2 linked regions of the Oryctolagus cuniculus genome follow. The protein of the gene in region 1 interacts with the protein of each later gene in a biochemical or structural test. Links are inferred from orthologs where the notes say so. Each region holds a gene or a part of one and is shown on either strand. Other genes may lie near its edges.

Region 1 (6,503 bases):
AGGGCAATTTCTGCTCATCCTAGTCATGTTAACTTCTTAATAAACATTTATCACTTTCATAACTTAAAAACATTAATTCTCAAAGTTTCGAAATCTGGATGGGGTACATAGGTACGAGTCATTTTCTAAATTCTTTTCATGCTTGAATCTTTTCAATATTTTAAAAGATAACCCTGCAAAATTAAAAATAAATCAAAGTGAGAAGTGCAATGACGGGGTTCAGCTGCTGTGGTCCAGCCGTGCCAAGGCCAAGTTCAAGGGACACCGGGGGCAGCTCTGCGACCAGCTCCTGTCAGACGGATCGACCGCATTCCGACAGCAGCCCTGGGGTTACTGCACCATTTCTTACTCTGTCCAACAGAATGAGACAGGACCAGCACGAATGCAGTCGCCCAAGGAGCCTGCGCGAAGGCACGCATCCCAGTGGACCCCACCCCCAATCCCCGGAGGGCGGAGACCGCGAGCCCTGCGCAGCGAGCGGCAGACACAACGGCTCAGCGCCTGTGTTTTGAGTCACCCCCTGGGTTTGGGGATTTCGACTTGAGAAGAAGAAGCTTTTGCGGAAAAAGCCAAGGCTCCACAGCTGTGTAGACAGGAAGTGAGGAGAACGAAGCACACATGCCCCGACTGAGCCGTGGGTGGGCACAGGTGCATTTCCACGTGTCCCGGACGCGGAACAGGAGAAAGAGCGGACGGCCATGACCTCAACCCCTCCAGGAAGTCAGCGTGCACCGATTCTCATGGCAGATAATCAGTGCGCACATAAACGTGCAAGATGGGCGGGGGTCCTGAGAGTTTACGTGAAATCAGCATTATGAAACATGAACGGATTTCAGAAGCTCTTGCACCAAAATAAACGTCCTTTCACCCCATTTCCCCACGCTGTTTGGACAAGGTCATCTGAACGCCTCTGCAGTTCTCTGGGGCAGGCACAACCCCAGCCAGACACCAGGAGCTTGCGGGCTGAGGCAACATGGTAAGGGCACACCGCAGGCGGCGGCACGGCCAGGACAGCACCGTGCAGACTCTGGTCACGGAGCACCTGCCACGGACGCGCAGGAGGCGTGGAGCCGTGCCCAGCCAGCCTTGCTGCTCCCAGGGGTGCCCGGGCACACCTCACACCGGCAGGAAACTGAAAGAAGTGGAGACACTGAGCCCCTGAGACACCTCCAGCTTCTACACGGTCCTAGAGCCGAACTCGGAAGCAGCTGGGTGTGGGCGGCTAGGACAGACACGATGACCGGGTGGGAAGCCGCTCACCTGAGAACACGGACACAGAAACCCACACCCAGGGCGAGGAGACCGGAGCGGTGTTAGCAAGGCTGAACCCAAGTTCCAGCTGGTCAAAGAGAGGCATGGTTTCTGGAGTCAACGAACGGCAGGGTTACTTTGCTCACTGTTGTATGCCTCAGCCAAGGTCCAGCATCAGTAAGTATTCACTGGTTAATGAATGAATGAATGAATACAATTTCCATGGGGCAAATAGAGCATAAGGGTGCTCTCGGGGCTGGCGCTGTAGCCTAGTGGATAAAGCCGCCACCTGTAGTGCTGGCATCCCATACGGGTGCCGGTTCTAGTCCCGGCTGCTCCACTTCCGATCCAGCTTTCTGCTATGGCCTGGGAAAGCAGTGGAAAGATGCCCCCAAGTCCTTGGGCCCCTGCACCCACGTAGGAGACCCAAAAGAAGCTCCTGGCTTCAGATCGGCACAGCTCCGGCTGTTGCGGTCATCTGGGGAGTGAACCAGCCGACAGAAGACCTCTCTCTGTCTCTAACTCTCTGTAACTCTCAGAAAGTAGAAGGGGGGAATAAAAGCAGAGAGACAGGAAATAAGAGAAAAGATGAGAGGAATAAAGGATTTTTTAAAAAATGAAGCCTCGCGTAAGGGAAGAAGGAAACTCGGGAACGTCCAAGTGTCCACACTGGCAAGCACGCCATAGCGCCCCGTCTCTCGGCTGAGCAAGATGAACGGGCGAGGCTGCGGCACCGAATGCCGGGCGGAGAACGAGGAGCACGGAGGTCCTCTTGGGAAAAGGGGGGTCAGGAAGGTGTCTCGGCGACAGACAGAAAACCAAGGGCGCTGGCACGCTGCCTCAGGCCGCAGAGACGCTGCCAACGCTGGCACTTCGAAACTGGGGGCCAGACAACTAAGTCAAATCCGCGCTACACCGTCTCTCGGGCCATCGGCGCCTGAGGGACCAGCACGCTTCAGGCAGGTGCTGGCCGGCGGACAGGGGCAGGACAGGACCTGGGAACTGCTGTTGGTTCTGTTCTCTGCTACTCGGTCAATCGTTTGCCTGACATATCCTGACAAAACGTCCAATCCTCACTTTACCAAATTCCTTCGACACAATCGTAATGTCCACCCCCCCCCCCGCCGCCCGCTTTGCCCCCTGGGAAATCCTCTCAGGAGCAAACACAGGCGCCTGGCACATGAACTTCGGGAGCAGGTCCATCCGTCTCAGGCTCAGACACGACAGGACAAGGCGCTGGGCTTCCAAGTTGAGTTCTAGCTCGACAGGAAGCGTGTCCTGATGCCGCCGTGCACCTGCTCTCTGGAAGTCTGACTGCAGGAAAGTGCGGAGGCCCGGGGGCGCTCCGGAAGAGGGGGCACCCCACCTGCCTGAGGCACGCTGCCAGCCGCGCAGGCCCCGCCTCACCTCGCCACGCCGCCGTAATCCAGGCCCTCCTCCCCACGGAACTTCACCATCAGCCGCTTCTTCAAGTCCTTCGGGCGCATCTTCATTATCTGGCGGTAAGACTCCTACGTGAGAGGGGACAGTCTCAGAGGCCGGCGGGCGCGGGGCTCACAGCTCTGGGTACGGGGCCCCGTCCAGGGAAGCTCTAGTGGGTCCTGTGTTCACGCGGCTTCTAGGACAGCCAGCAGCCCTGCCCCCACAGAGGTGACAGCAAGACAAAGCCGGTGTCAGGCAGCAGGTGGCAGCAGGCCTCGCGGAGACCGACGCTGCCTTCGGCACGGTCACCGAGGACTGAGGACGACCGTGGTCCCTGGAGCCGGCTTTCTCGACACAAACTGATCCCAATGCTCTTCCCCAACAATTTATGTCTCATTCAAGTCTGAATGTAGGGAGCCCGGGGCCTGCTTTCGTAGGTGACGGGAAAGACTCCCCCACTTGCCCAGTGGCACAGGGAAAGCAGGCTTCAGGGAGAGACAGCAGCCCGCCCCAGGCACGGCCAGCACCCGCCAGCCGGCGCCCCCCGGGACGTCTGCAGAGTTCAGGAAGAACGCACCTCCCCCTGATTGACGCTTAACCTGACGCAGTCCCAATGCCACCACGAGGAGGCCGAAGGGACGAGGAGAAGGGACCTGGCAGCACAGTGCCGATCGCTCAGCGCCTTGCTATCCCTGGCAGCCATCCACGTCTGCTCCACGTGCCAAACCGGGCGCCTTGTCTGGTCCACGCCCTCCCCCGACTCTGCGGGCCAGCCCTTCCGTGACCTCTGCCAGGGCCCCCACCAGGGGGGCAGGGCACGGCCCGATCTGCTCCCCTTTTTTCTGAGAGGAGAGCCCGCCTGGGGGGCCCTGAGCGCTGCACGCACGGGAGGACTGCGGGAGCACCCACCAGTCGCCGTGCCGAGCAGGGGCGCCCCGAGACCATCGCGTGCTCGGCTCTGCCTTGAGAGCACGTGCAGCCCCGCCTCTCCCCACAGGCCTTGGCCCTGCCCCCCCGGGGGTTGGGGGGGCACGCCCACCAGCCCAGGGCTTCCCGGGGCTCCGCAGCTCCACCTGACCGGCAGTCACACGCAAGCCCGTACCTCAAATATTTCTTCTCGGGAAACCTCGATGCGGCAGTGGCCGGCCTGCGGCTGCTGCAGCGACAGCTCGTGCCTGAGGACTTTGAGCTTCTGGACGAGGTCGCGTTCGTACCTCTGGGCAGGGAGCTCCTCGTCCTCCACCGAGCCTTCGCTGGGCAAGGGCAGGGGCTGGCTGGGCTCCTTCAGCCGGCACTGGTGACTGCGGAGGGGAGTGGCCAGGTCACCCACAAGCAGCAGCGCCCTGCCCGCCACAGCGCCGGGGGCGAGCCTGTCACCCACCACCTCGCTTCTCTACATGGGCCGGCACGGCTGCCGGCCACCATCAGCCTAAGGCAAGTCGCGGAGGGCACGGTCACGGGGATGCCCACTCGCTGCACCCGTCAGTTAGGACCACAGATGAACGGGGAAACCGGCCAGGGCCCGTCCTGCACAGATGAACGGGGAAACCGGCCAGGGCCCGTCCGTTAGGACCACAGATGAACGGGGAAACCGGCCAGGGCCCGTCCTGCACCCGGCAGGCCCCGCCTTGGGCATGAGTGTGGCGCAGGGCTGATGGGAAACTCTAGAGTTCATGAACGGCGGAGGGAGGTGGCACGCTCAGAGCCCATGGCCGAGCGCCGTCTACCGGCAGCCACCCCGCGTCCTGATCCCCGAGAGGCTCCGAGCCTGTGCCTGAACACCCAGACTTCCACAGGATACAGGGACGAGCACGAGCAGGTGACAGGGGGCGTCTGTCTGGTTCAGGCCTCGCCGCTCACGGGAGCTCAGCGACAGGAGCCCGTGGGAAGCTCCGTTTGGAGAACACCGACCGCGGGCCCACGGCCGTGCCCAGGCCCGCGTCACCCAGGGACGATGGGTACAACCCAGGGGCTCCGCGGGCGCGGCGGCCGCTCGGGCAGGCTTACTTCATGATGTGGTGCAGCCTCGGGTCCGTGAACTGCGTGGTGCGGTTATTGTGGTCGACGAAGTAGATCCTGCCCGAAACCGTGCTCCTGACTTCCCAGCCGGGGGGCAGCGGGCCGAGCTCATCACAGTTCACGCTGTTGAGGTCTCTATGGGGACGAAGACACAGACAGGTGCGTCCAGCTGCGGCGCCGGGAGCCACCAAGGGCCCCGGCGAGGCCCAGGGTCCGGGCCTGGGTGCCACGGACCGCGGCAACACCCAACAGACAGCGATGGCAGGGAACAGGGCCTCCCCAGGGGTCAGACTCTCAGAACGGTGGGAAAACGCCTGCATTCTCGGGTGCAGCGCCACGCCCGGGGCCGGAGGCTTCCTCGCTGAGCGCTCCTGGGGGCTGACCGCGGGGCAGCGCGCACAGCTCCGCCGGCCGCACCCGCGCCAGGCGCCCTCCTCTCGGAGTTGCCTTCCTGTCAAGCGACTGTTTTCTCCTGCCAAGCCTGGGACCGGTAATTTCACTGCGACCCCCAGGCCGAGGGGAGCGTGGCGTTACCGACCACGACGCTTTTCCAGTAGCCCCAAAGCCTGCCCGTTCCCTACAGGGGGGTCTAAAACACCTCGGTCATTCACTGCAGGTGTAATGCGTCCACGCTGATTAGAGACACTGAATCATAAACTCAACATAGACTTGCAAAATCACAGACAGGAAGCGTACTCTCAGATGGAACAAATCATGAATAGAAATCGTATTAAGTAGTGATGCTAGTCTAGGAAGAAAACAAAATAAAGGAGAGGAAAGCAAAGCAAAGCGAAAAGAAACTTAACTCCGTTACAGGGTGGGGCGGGGGTCTCTCTGACCTGGGCTCAGCTGTATGGCCTTGGAGAAGGAACTCGTATAGAAAAGCTTCATCTCCCCCAGGAATGGTCCCCAAGGGACTGAGGCGATAGGGACAGTAAAGTAGAAGAGAGAAAGGGTCACAGCGTCTGTACACTTCCTTCGCAACTCATTATTACGGAAAACTTTATGCACATTACAACAAGAAAAGCAGAGAGACCGTCACGATCCACCAGGCAATCAACTTCCACACGTGGCGTCTCCCGGCCAGCGACCCCAGTGCACCCCCCACCCCGACTCAGCCGAAGCCAATCCCAGACATCTCGTCGCTCACGAGTATTCTGAGTTTAGGACGCTGCTCAAGCTCTGCCGCGTGCCCTTGGGCAAACCTACCTGGGTACCCGGGGGTCGTGCCACGTGCTAACTCCGGTCTGTGTGTGCAGAAAGTAAACTTGCCCCTGCACCGTGGTTCTTTGCTCTGCGCAAGAAATTAGGGGAGACACTTAGACAGGTTCAAGCCCAGGACCCTCTGGTGACCTTCGCACAGACGCTAAGCTTCCTTGAAGCTGCAGGGAGGAGGCGGACAAAGGCTGCGGCTCGCCTCTGCCCGCCTCTGTCGAGGTCCACGCCCCGGCCAGATATTCCCTCGCAGCTCACGTTCCCTGCACTGTGGCCCCACTGAGCCGCCGCCCTGCATGGCCCTCCATGCCAGCATCATCCACCACGGCTGCTCTCTCCAACGAGCCTCGGGGACCCCCACGCTCCCGTCCGGAGCGCCTCCAGTAGCCGCCCTGCCACCACCGCGCTTCGCTGTGGTATGCACCCCCTAGAACGTCCACTTCCTTTAGGAGACGAGGAGACTCCGCGAGGGCGCAGCAGGTGCCGGCCACTCACGGCTGGCTCACGGGTCACCATCTCTTCTACAAGGCCACGCAGGGCCTCCACTCCTCCGCAGTGGAGGCAGGTGCACATTACCACAAACGCTTAGGACAGAG
Region 2 (6,951 bases), on another chromosome or scaffold:
CGTTGACATAGACACCCTCTCCCTCCTGTGTGCACCGACGGGGACTCTCCCTCTGTCCGAGTCGCTGCTTCTCACAGTGCGGGCCCCCAAGCCAGCAGCATCAGCGTCATGCAGGGCCCTGCTAGAAATTCAAATTCCCGAACCCTCAGCCTGGACCTACTGCATCAGAAACTCCGCCAAGGCCAGGCCCAGCAATCCGCGCTGTGACCAGCCCTAGCAGGATTCTGGTCACACTTACGTATAAAGCATCCTTTCTCAGTCTACCGAAACACATGGGAAAAAGACCTCAGAAATGCAATCCAGACTGATTTGAGATCGAGATTAAAGGAAAACCCGAGACAACGCCCCTTGCTATAAAACACCCAGGATCAATGAAACTTCCCACTATTTTCCATGAATCGTTTCAACAGGCAATTAAATGAACTCAGCACATTTCTTTTAAATGTGCAAAATGAATTTTCATATTCTAAGAGTCACACCAGATGTTTTACCTTTTTTTCCCCCCCTAATTGATTTTCCAGCCTAGAGCAACTTGGTTTTTTTGTTTTCCACTTGGGCCCTAACACAGCAAGAAGAGTATGTTCCGCAGGGTTTTTAAATGGCACGCAGTTAAAACAGGCCCCACCAGGCTGCTCTACTTCTTCCGGGTGGTTGTCTCCCCAAAATATAAAAGCAGAACTCTTTAGGTAGCAGGCAGATGGGACAGGCGGGAAACCCAGAAAGGCCCTCTGGGGGTGGGGGTGGGGGGGCAAGTCTCCAGGCTCTTGGCTGCTTGCAGAGCCGAGTGCTGGGCACTCAGCCCAGGCCTGAGCACTCCCCTACCCATCCCTGCACTCCCTGGTACCAAAGGATTTGCTGGCTGTAAAAACTTGCAAATAAACATTGTCTTTCAATGGGAAGTTTTGTTTTAAAGTAGGTTATGGGATGGAGGTGAGTGGAGCCATGGGCCGAGGAAGGAGTGGCTCCTGGAGGAGTCCAAACAATCCCCCTCTGTTGGCCCTGCACCCACCCAGTGGAGCAGGCCTGTTTCAGCCTGTGTTAAGTGGGTGAAAGGTCACCACCAACAACCAGGTTTTCTTCACTCAACAAAAGCTCTTGGAAATCGCAGGGGAGAGGGGAAACGAGCCTCAGCCTTGAAGCAAACAACTTCAAGAGGGACCTCCACTGCCTTGGCCCTGGGTGTGGGAGAGGAGAGGGTGGCAACAGAGCGCGGAGACGTGGAAAATGCCGATTCAGACAGAGCCACGCTTGGGAGGCAGGTGGGGGAGGCTGGCACCACCTTCCTCTGCGCCGGCAGGTTTGAGTCCTCCCGCCTGCAGCGGGATTTTCGTGTGGTCTCCAAGAACAAATCGGCCTGTCTGGTTCGGAGAACCACTGCAGCAAGGCTCAGGGTCTGAAATTAGAGCTCATCCTAATTGGTTCCCAAAGCGGAGCTGCTCCAACTTGAAATAACTCCCACCGCCCACCACCACCACCACATCCAGCCCTCTGTCTGCAACCGGCCCTTCTCAGAGAAGGGCAGGCTCTCATTGTGGCACCTTCCCAGGGAAGTTCCATCGGAAGAGAACCCTCCCCAGGAGAGCCCCTGGAGCTCCAGCCCCAGGCAGAGCAACCTGCCACTGTACAGGGTGGTGTGCAGACCTGGAGGATGGGAAGGAGCCCAGGCAACCAGCCCCAGAAATGTTACCTAAACTGAAAACACGCAAGTGACAGCTTCTCAAGTCTAAAAGAAGCCAAGTCCACAATAGTCACAGTGGTTTTAAGACAGAGACAAAACCAAGACCTTTGGCCTCGCCTAATCAGGCTGAAGTTTTTGCTCTGGGCCATGAGTGAGCGGCTTGTCTTCCTCTGGGGTTGTGACAGCCAACAACCTGGTCTCCCTTGATGACCCAACCCGCAGAGCCCCCCAGACCTTCGCCCTCCGCTATGACAGTCACTGCCCAGAAAGGGTCTCTCCCCTTGTCCCACGTGCACAAGGATACCTTACTACAGAGCATTAAACCACAAGAGCCATTTTATAAATGTCATCATCATAGTCTTTTAATATTTTACATAAAAAACTGTATACACAGCTTATAGAACTTTTATGTAAACATCATAAGCTCACCACTTTGTCATTTGTCAGTTTATTGGAAAAATAAAAAAACAAGACAACAGTTTAGTAGAAGTACCACTGGGCAGGAAGAGGGAGGGGAGAAACGGGCAGGTTTATTCTCTGTACAGAGAAGCAGAGAAAACTTCACATAGCTGCAGAGGCTGCCTTGCAGGGAAAACAAAAAAGTTCTCAATAGGCCCCAACACGGGTTACTGTCCCTTATCAAAACAGTGTGCATGACCTGCACAAATAAAATCTCAAAACAGTGGTGCCACTTTTCTCGAGAAAACCAAGGAAAAATTAGTAAATTCTTTTTCTTTTCCTTGTTTTCAAAATCATCATTCAAAAAAAATAAATCCAAAGTAGATGAGGTTACAGCATACAGAATGCTACTGCCTTATGCAAATGACAAGTGCATTAAGTGTCAAACAATGAAACAACTGTGCAAAGAATTCTTTCCAAAAAAAAAAAAAGTTTCAGCTTTTAAATAAATCAAAAAAACATCCGTTTCTTGGACTGAACAGTTTTCACTTGTCAGGCACAGAGTTCGCTTATGGCAACAACAAGGCCCCCAGCACACGCCCCGCCCCTCCTCCTGCTGGAGAGAGGTTCGCTGGGGGCTGGCAGCACCTGCTGCTTCTAAAAGCTGTGTCCCTTCAGCCCCAAGTCAGTTGCAAATGTCTTCCCCAGGGCTCAGAAAGATGGCCAAGTCCTGGTCATGCTTGGATGGGCGCCTGACCCAGCCCGGGGCCAGAGCTGTTCTAACGCCCTGGTCACTCCACCCACCACGACCATTAAATAACACCATCTTACCTCCGAAAATAAAATTATATCTGTATTTATAGAACACCCCCCTCCTCCTCCCCAGCCCTCCCTCCCGCAATTCCCGGGGTCTATGTTACAAACAAGGGATAGCAGGCGCTCGCGGGTTACGGGCTAACATCCGATGGGGCGCGGCCCCGGCCCCCACCCCCACCCCGGGGGGACCCGAGGCGGGGGTGGTGTGACAATGTGAGCGAGGGGGCAGTAGAACGTACACGCAGTCACACGCTCTGAGGCTCTGATCCTCAGAACAGGATGTCCAGGGGACCCTTGGCACTCAGCGGGGGCGCCCGGGCCTGTGCCACACAGCTGGACGCACGCAGACACTGGGAAGGGGGCGCCCGGTGCCCACGCGCTTCTCGGCGCGAGAGCCAGAGCCGCCCGCAGACGCCAGGCAGTCTGGTGGGGTCCTTGCAGGGGCGTGGGCCTCCCCTCCCCACGGCTGGCTGGGGGACCGGCCCGGGAGGGGGCGCCGCGCAGGCGGGGGCAGACGGGCGGGCGCGGCCTCTCATAGCACCTTGCAGCAGTTGATGCAGCCGTTCTGCGAGCCGTAGCGCTTCTGGAGCGCGGCGCGCGTGGCCGTCTCGAAGACCTCGCGCACGCCCTCCTTGGTCTTGGCGGAGCACTCGAGGTAGTCGTAGGCTTGGATGCGCACGGCCATGGCGCGGCCGTCGTCCGTGCGCACGGGCTCCTGCTTCATGCGCGCCAGCTCTGTGCGGACGTGCTCGTCGCTGCGCAGGTCCTTCTTGTTGGCCACCAGGATGATGGGCACGTTGGGGCAAAAGTGTTTCACCTCCGGCACCCACTTCTCGGGGATGTTCTCCAGCGAGTCCGGGCTGTCCACCGAGAAGCACATGAGGATGACGTCGGTGTCCGGGTAGGAGAGCGGCCGCAGGCGGTCGTAGTCCTCCTGGCCCGCTGTGTCCCACAGCGCCAGCTCCACCTGCTTGCCGTCCACCTCGATGTCGGCCACATAGTTCTCGAAGACGGTGGGCACGTACACCTCGGGGAACTCGTCCTTGCTGAACACGATCAGCAGGCACGTCTTGCCGCACGCGCCGTCGCCCACCACCACCAGCTTCTTGCGGATGGCCGCCATGAGCCGGCCGGGCCCGGGCAGCAGGAGGGGGCCCGCGAGCGCCTCGCTGCCGTCCCGCTCGCTTCGCTCACTGCTCACCTCCGGCGGCGCGCTGGGGGGCGAGGGTCGCTAGCTGCACCCAGGCCCCGCGGTGGCGCGTTCTCTCCGGGCGCTCAGGCTGCCGCGGCGGGGGCGCGGGTGCATAGGGCGCGCCGCGCTGCTCGCGGACTGCGGCCGCGGCTCACGCCCCGGGCCGGGGTCGGCGGCTTTGTGCGCCACAAGGGCTCGGGCTGCGGTCGGTCCCGCTCCCCCTCCCGGGTCCCGGGCCGCGCGTACCAGGGCGCCGACGACTCCAGCCAGACTGCGGTGGCAGATGCGGGCTGCGGCCCTAGCGCCTGCTATTTAAAGAGTCCGGCCACTTTCTTAATATAGCCGCCCAATAGGAAGCGAGCCGGCTGAGCTCATCGCTGCGGAGCTTGGCTCTGATTGGCCGCCTGCTGCAGCCCGAAGGCGGGGCCGCACGGGCTTGATTGACGGCCCTGGCCGCGGGGCTGGGAGAGGCGGCGACCGTGGAGTCTGCGCGGCCGCCGGCGCTGCGGGGCCGCGGCGGCCCCGGCTCCCCGCCTTCGTCGTGGCCCGAGGGCTGGCTGCCTAGAGCCCGCGGGGTCTGGGCCCGCGGGTTCCGAGACGGGGCGGCACTTTGGAGTGGGGGGTCGGCGCCTCCTTTTAGAGCAGAATCGCGGGGCTTTCTGGCCAACCCCCCGCGGGTGGTCGGACCTGGGGCGGGGGAGGGGCGGCTCCCGTAACGTGGTTTTGTTTGTAAGTAAACAACCACACACACACGCACACGCACGGCCACACACGCACTTTTGTTTCCAAACTGAAAGGTTTCTTCTTCGCCCTTTTGGAGCCGGCCGCTCTGTGCTCGGGCCTCCCGGGGCGCCCTTGCCCTGGGATTGAGCCCCTGGCGTGAGGCGCCCACTGCAACCTGGGTGGGCCTGGGCCGAGCCTCCCGGCCCTTGCAAGCCCCTGCCCTCCTCTTTCAGGACCCCCCAGCTCGGGTCGCCGGGCGAAGGTGAGGGAAAGGAGACCGAGTGGGCGAGCGCTGGTTCGATGAATGGGAAGGGGCAGGCCGGGGTATTTGGCCGAAACTCTGCGTGGTTCTTTCGGATCCGTTTGTTAAGGCAGAGCCGTGTCCGAACGAAGAGTGCAATAGAATCTGGCCCCCTAAACCCCACTGAGCCGGCGAACGGTGGGGCAGGGGCCCAGGGCTCGCAGGTGCGAGTGAGCGCGCGCTGGGGGTCCATCGCCCCAAACCAGCAGGGCTGCAGGCAGCTGCCCCGGGGACCCTGCGGGACGTGGCCCTCACCTCTGGTCTGGAAACCCGAAGGGAGACCTGCCCATCACGGCGAGCTCACTGCCCCATTGTCTGTCTGCCTCTGGATTGTGGTTTGGTGGGGGCGCCAGCGTCCTCCGGACCCAGCCAGCAGGTGACTGGAGGATCGACCCGCTTGTTCAGGAGCTCAGTGGGGATTTTCTGGGGGGCTCTTACCTCAGCTCCAGATCCACTCTAACAGTCACCCAGGCGAACCCACGCAGGCAGCTGAGAGGGAGCCTGTGGTTTCAGTGCCACTCACAGGTCAACCTAGTGGCTGTTACCCTCTAGGGCCCATCCTGGCCCGCATCGGTTGAACCATCAGAAGGGCTGCATGTTCCCCACACCAGCTCCACTTTTTTACAGCGCCCAAATTATTTTTGTTGTTGTTGTTAGAGAGAGGAATTTTGTCTTTTTTTTTTTTTTTTAAGATTGATTGATTTGTTTGAAAGGCAGAGTTACAGAGAGGCAGAAGCAGAGAAAGAGAAAGAGGTTTTGCATCCACTGGTTCACTCCCCAGATGGCTGCAATGGCCAGCACTGGGCTGATCCAAAGCCAGGAGCCAGGAGCTTCTTACAGGTCTCCTAGGGGGATGCAGGAGCCCCCAGGACCTGGGCTAGCTTCTACTGTGTTCCCAGGCCATAACAGAGAGCTGGATCGGAAATGGAGCAGCCAGGACTTGAACTGGCGCCCATATGGAATGCCGGCACTGCAGGTGGCAGCTTTACCCACTTACGCCCCTTGCCTTGTTTTTTAAGCCTAAGGAACCGATTGGCCAGGAAATAAATAGGTTGTTTTGATCTTTGGTATAAGACTCCAGTCTGGAAACTTTTTTTTTTTTTTAAAGTTAGGCTATTAGGAAAATCTTATCTACACAGATTTTTCTTCTTTTAGTCAAAACTTTTTATAGCTGTATTGTTAACATTGCTTTCCTTGGTCTTAATATAGCTTGGGAATCTTGGCTATGTCCTTTAACTTCAAATATTAGGAAAATATAAAACAAAGATAAAAAAAAAAAACCTCAAATACAAAGAATCAGGAAGAGGGGTTAAATTCACTGATTTCCTGATTTCCAGACATAGGAGTTGTTCCAATCTTGAGTCTCGGAATCACAATAAATTCTAAAAGTATGAAGTTGGCAAATGTGCCAAAGGAAACACAGCGGAGCATCCGTCCGCAGCACCTTCTCTTCATTCTTCTTGGTTTTTGTACAGGATCCTTAACTGGCTCTGGAGAGATGCTGCTTTCCAGACTGTTCCCCTCGCAGACCAGACTTGGCCAAACGAGTGAGGCACCCTGCAGCCTCCTCCCTCGCCCCCCATCAGCAGTTTCCACTGAAAGGCAAGGGTAACGTGTAGTTCTTCCAGGAGAACAAATCTTGTTCAAACTAACTTTAACAGATAGTCAGGTGTGACGATCACATACCCATCCCAGCAAGAGAGGGAAATTGTCTTTCAGACAGAAGATGATATTAATATATTCCCAGTACTTGTTCTAATTCACGTGGTCTTTTTCCTTTTCCTTTTCTTTTCTTTTTGGCCCAGTGTCTTCTGTAAATCAACTCCCCTCTCCTCAAAGGCT

Evidence for each region.
Region 2: the proteins of SMURF1 (region 1) and RHOB form a complex in vitro, tested with the Homo sapiens proteins (2 studies listed by BioGRID and IntAct, with this or other methods). The link is inferred for Oryctolagus cuniculus from reciprocal best matches to the Homo sapiens genes SMURF1 and RHOB.

The regions. Positions count from the first base shown.
Region 1 is NC_091450.1:41,309,025-41,315,527, forward strand, and holds part of SMURF1 (E3 ubiquitin-protein ligase SMURF1), read right to left. Parts: intron 5,987-6,503; coding exon 5,902-5,986; intron 5,610-5,901; coding exon 5,532-5,609; intron 4,828-5,531; coding exon 4,681-4,827; intron 3,975-4,680; coding exon 3,776-3,974; intron 2,763-3,775; coding exon 2,659-2,762; intron 1-2,658. UniProt on the Homo sapiens protein: E3 ubiquitin-protein ligase that acts as a negative regulator of BMP signaling pathway. Mediates ubiquitination and degradation of SMAD1 and SMAD5, 2 receptor-regulated SMADs specific for the BMP pathway.
Region 2 is NC_091433.1:182,132,200-182,139,150, forward strand, and holds RHOB (rho-related GTP-binding protein RhoB), read right to left. Parts: upstream 4,385-6,951; 5' UTR 4,017-4,384; coding exon 3,426-4,016; 3' UTR 2,014-3,425; downstream 1-2,013. UniProt on the Homo sapiens protein: Mediates apoptosis in neoplastically transformed cells after DNA damage. Not essential for development but affects cell adhesion and growth factor signaling in transformed cells. Plays a negative role in tumorigenesis as deletion causes tumor formation.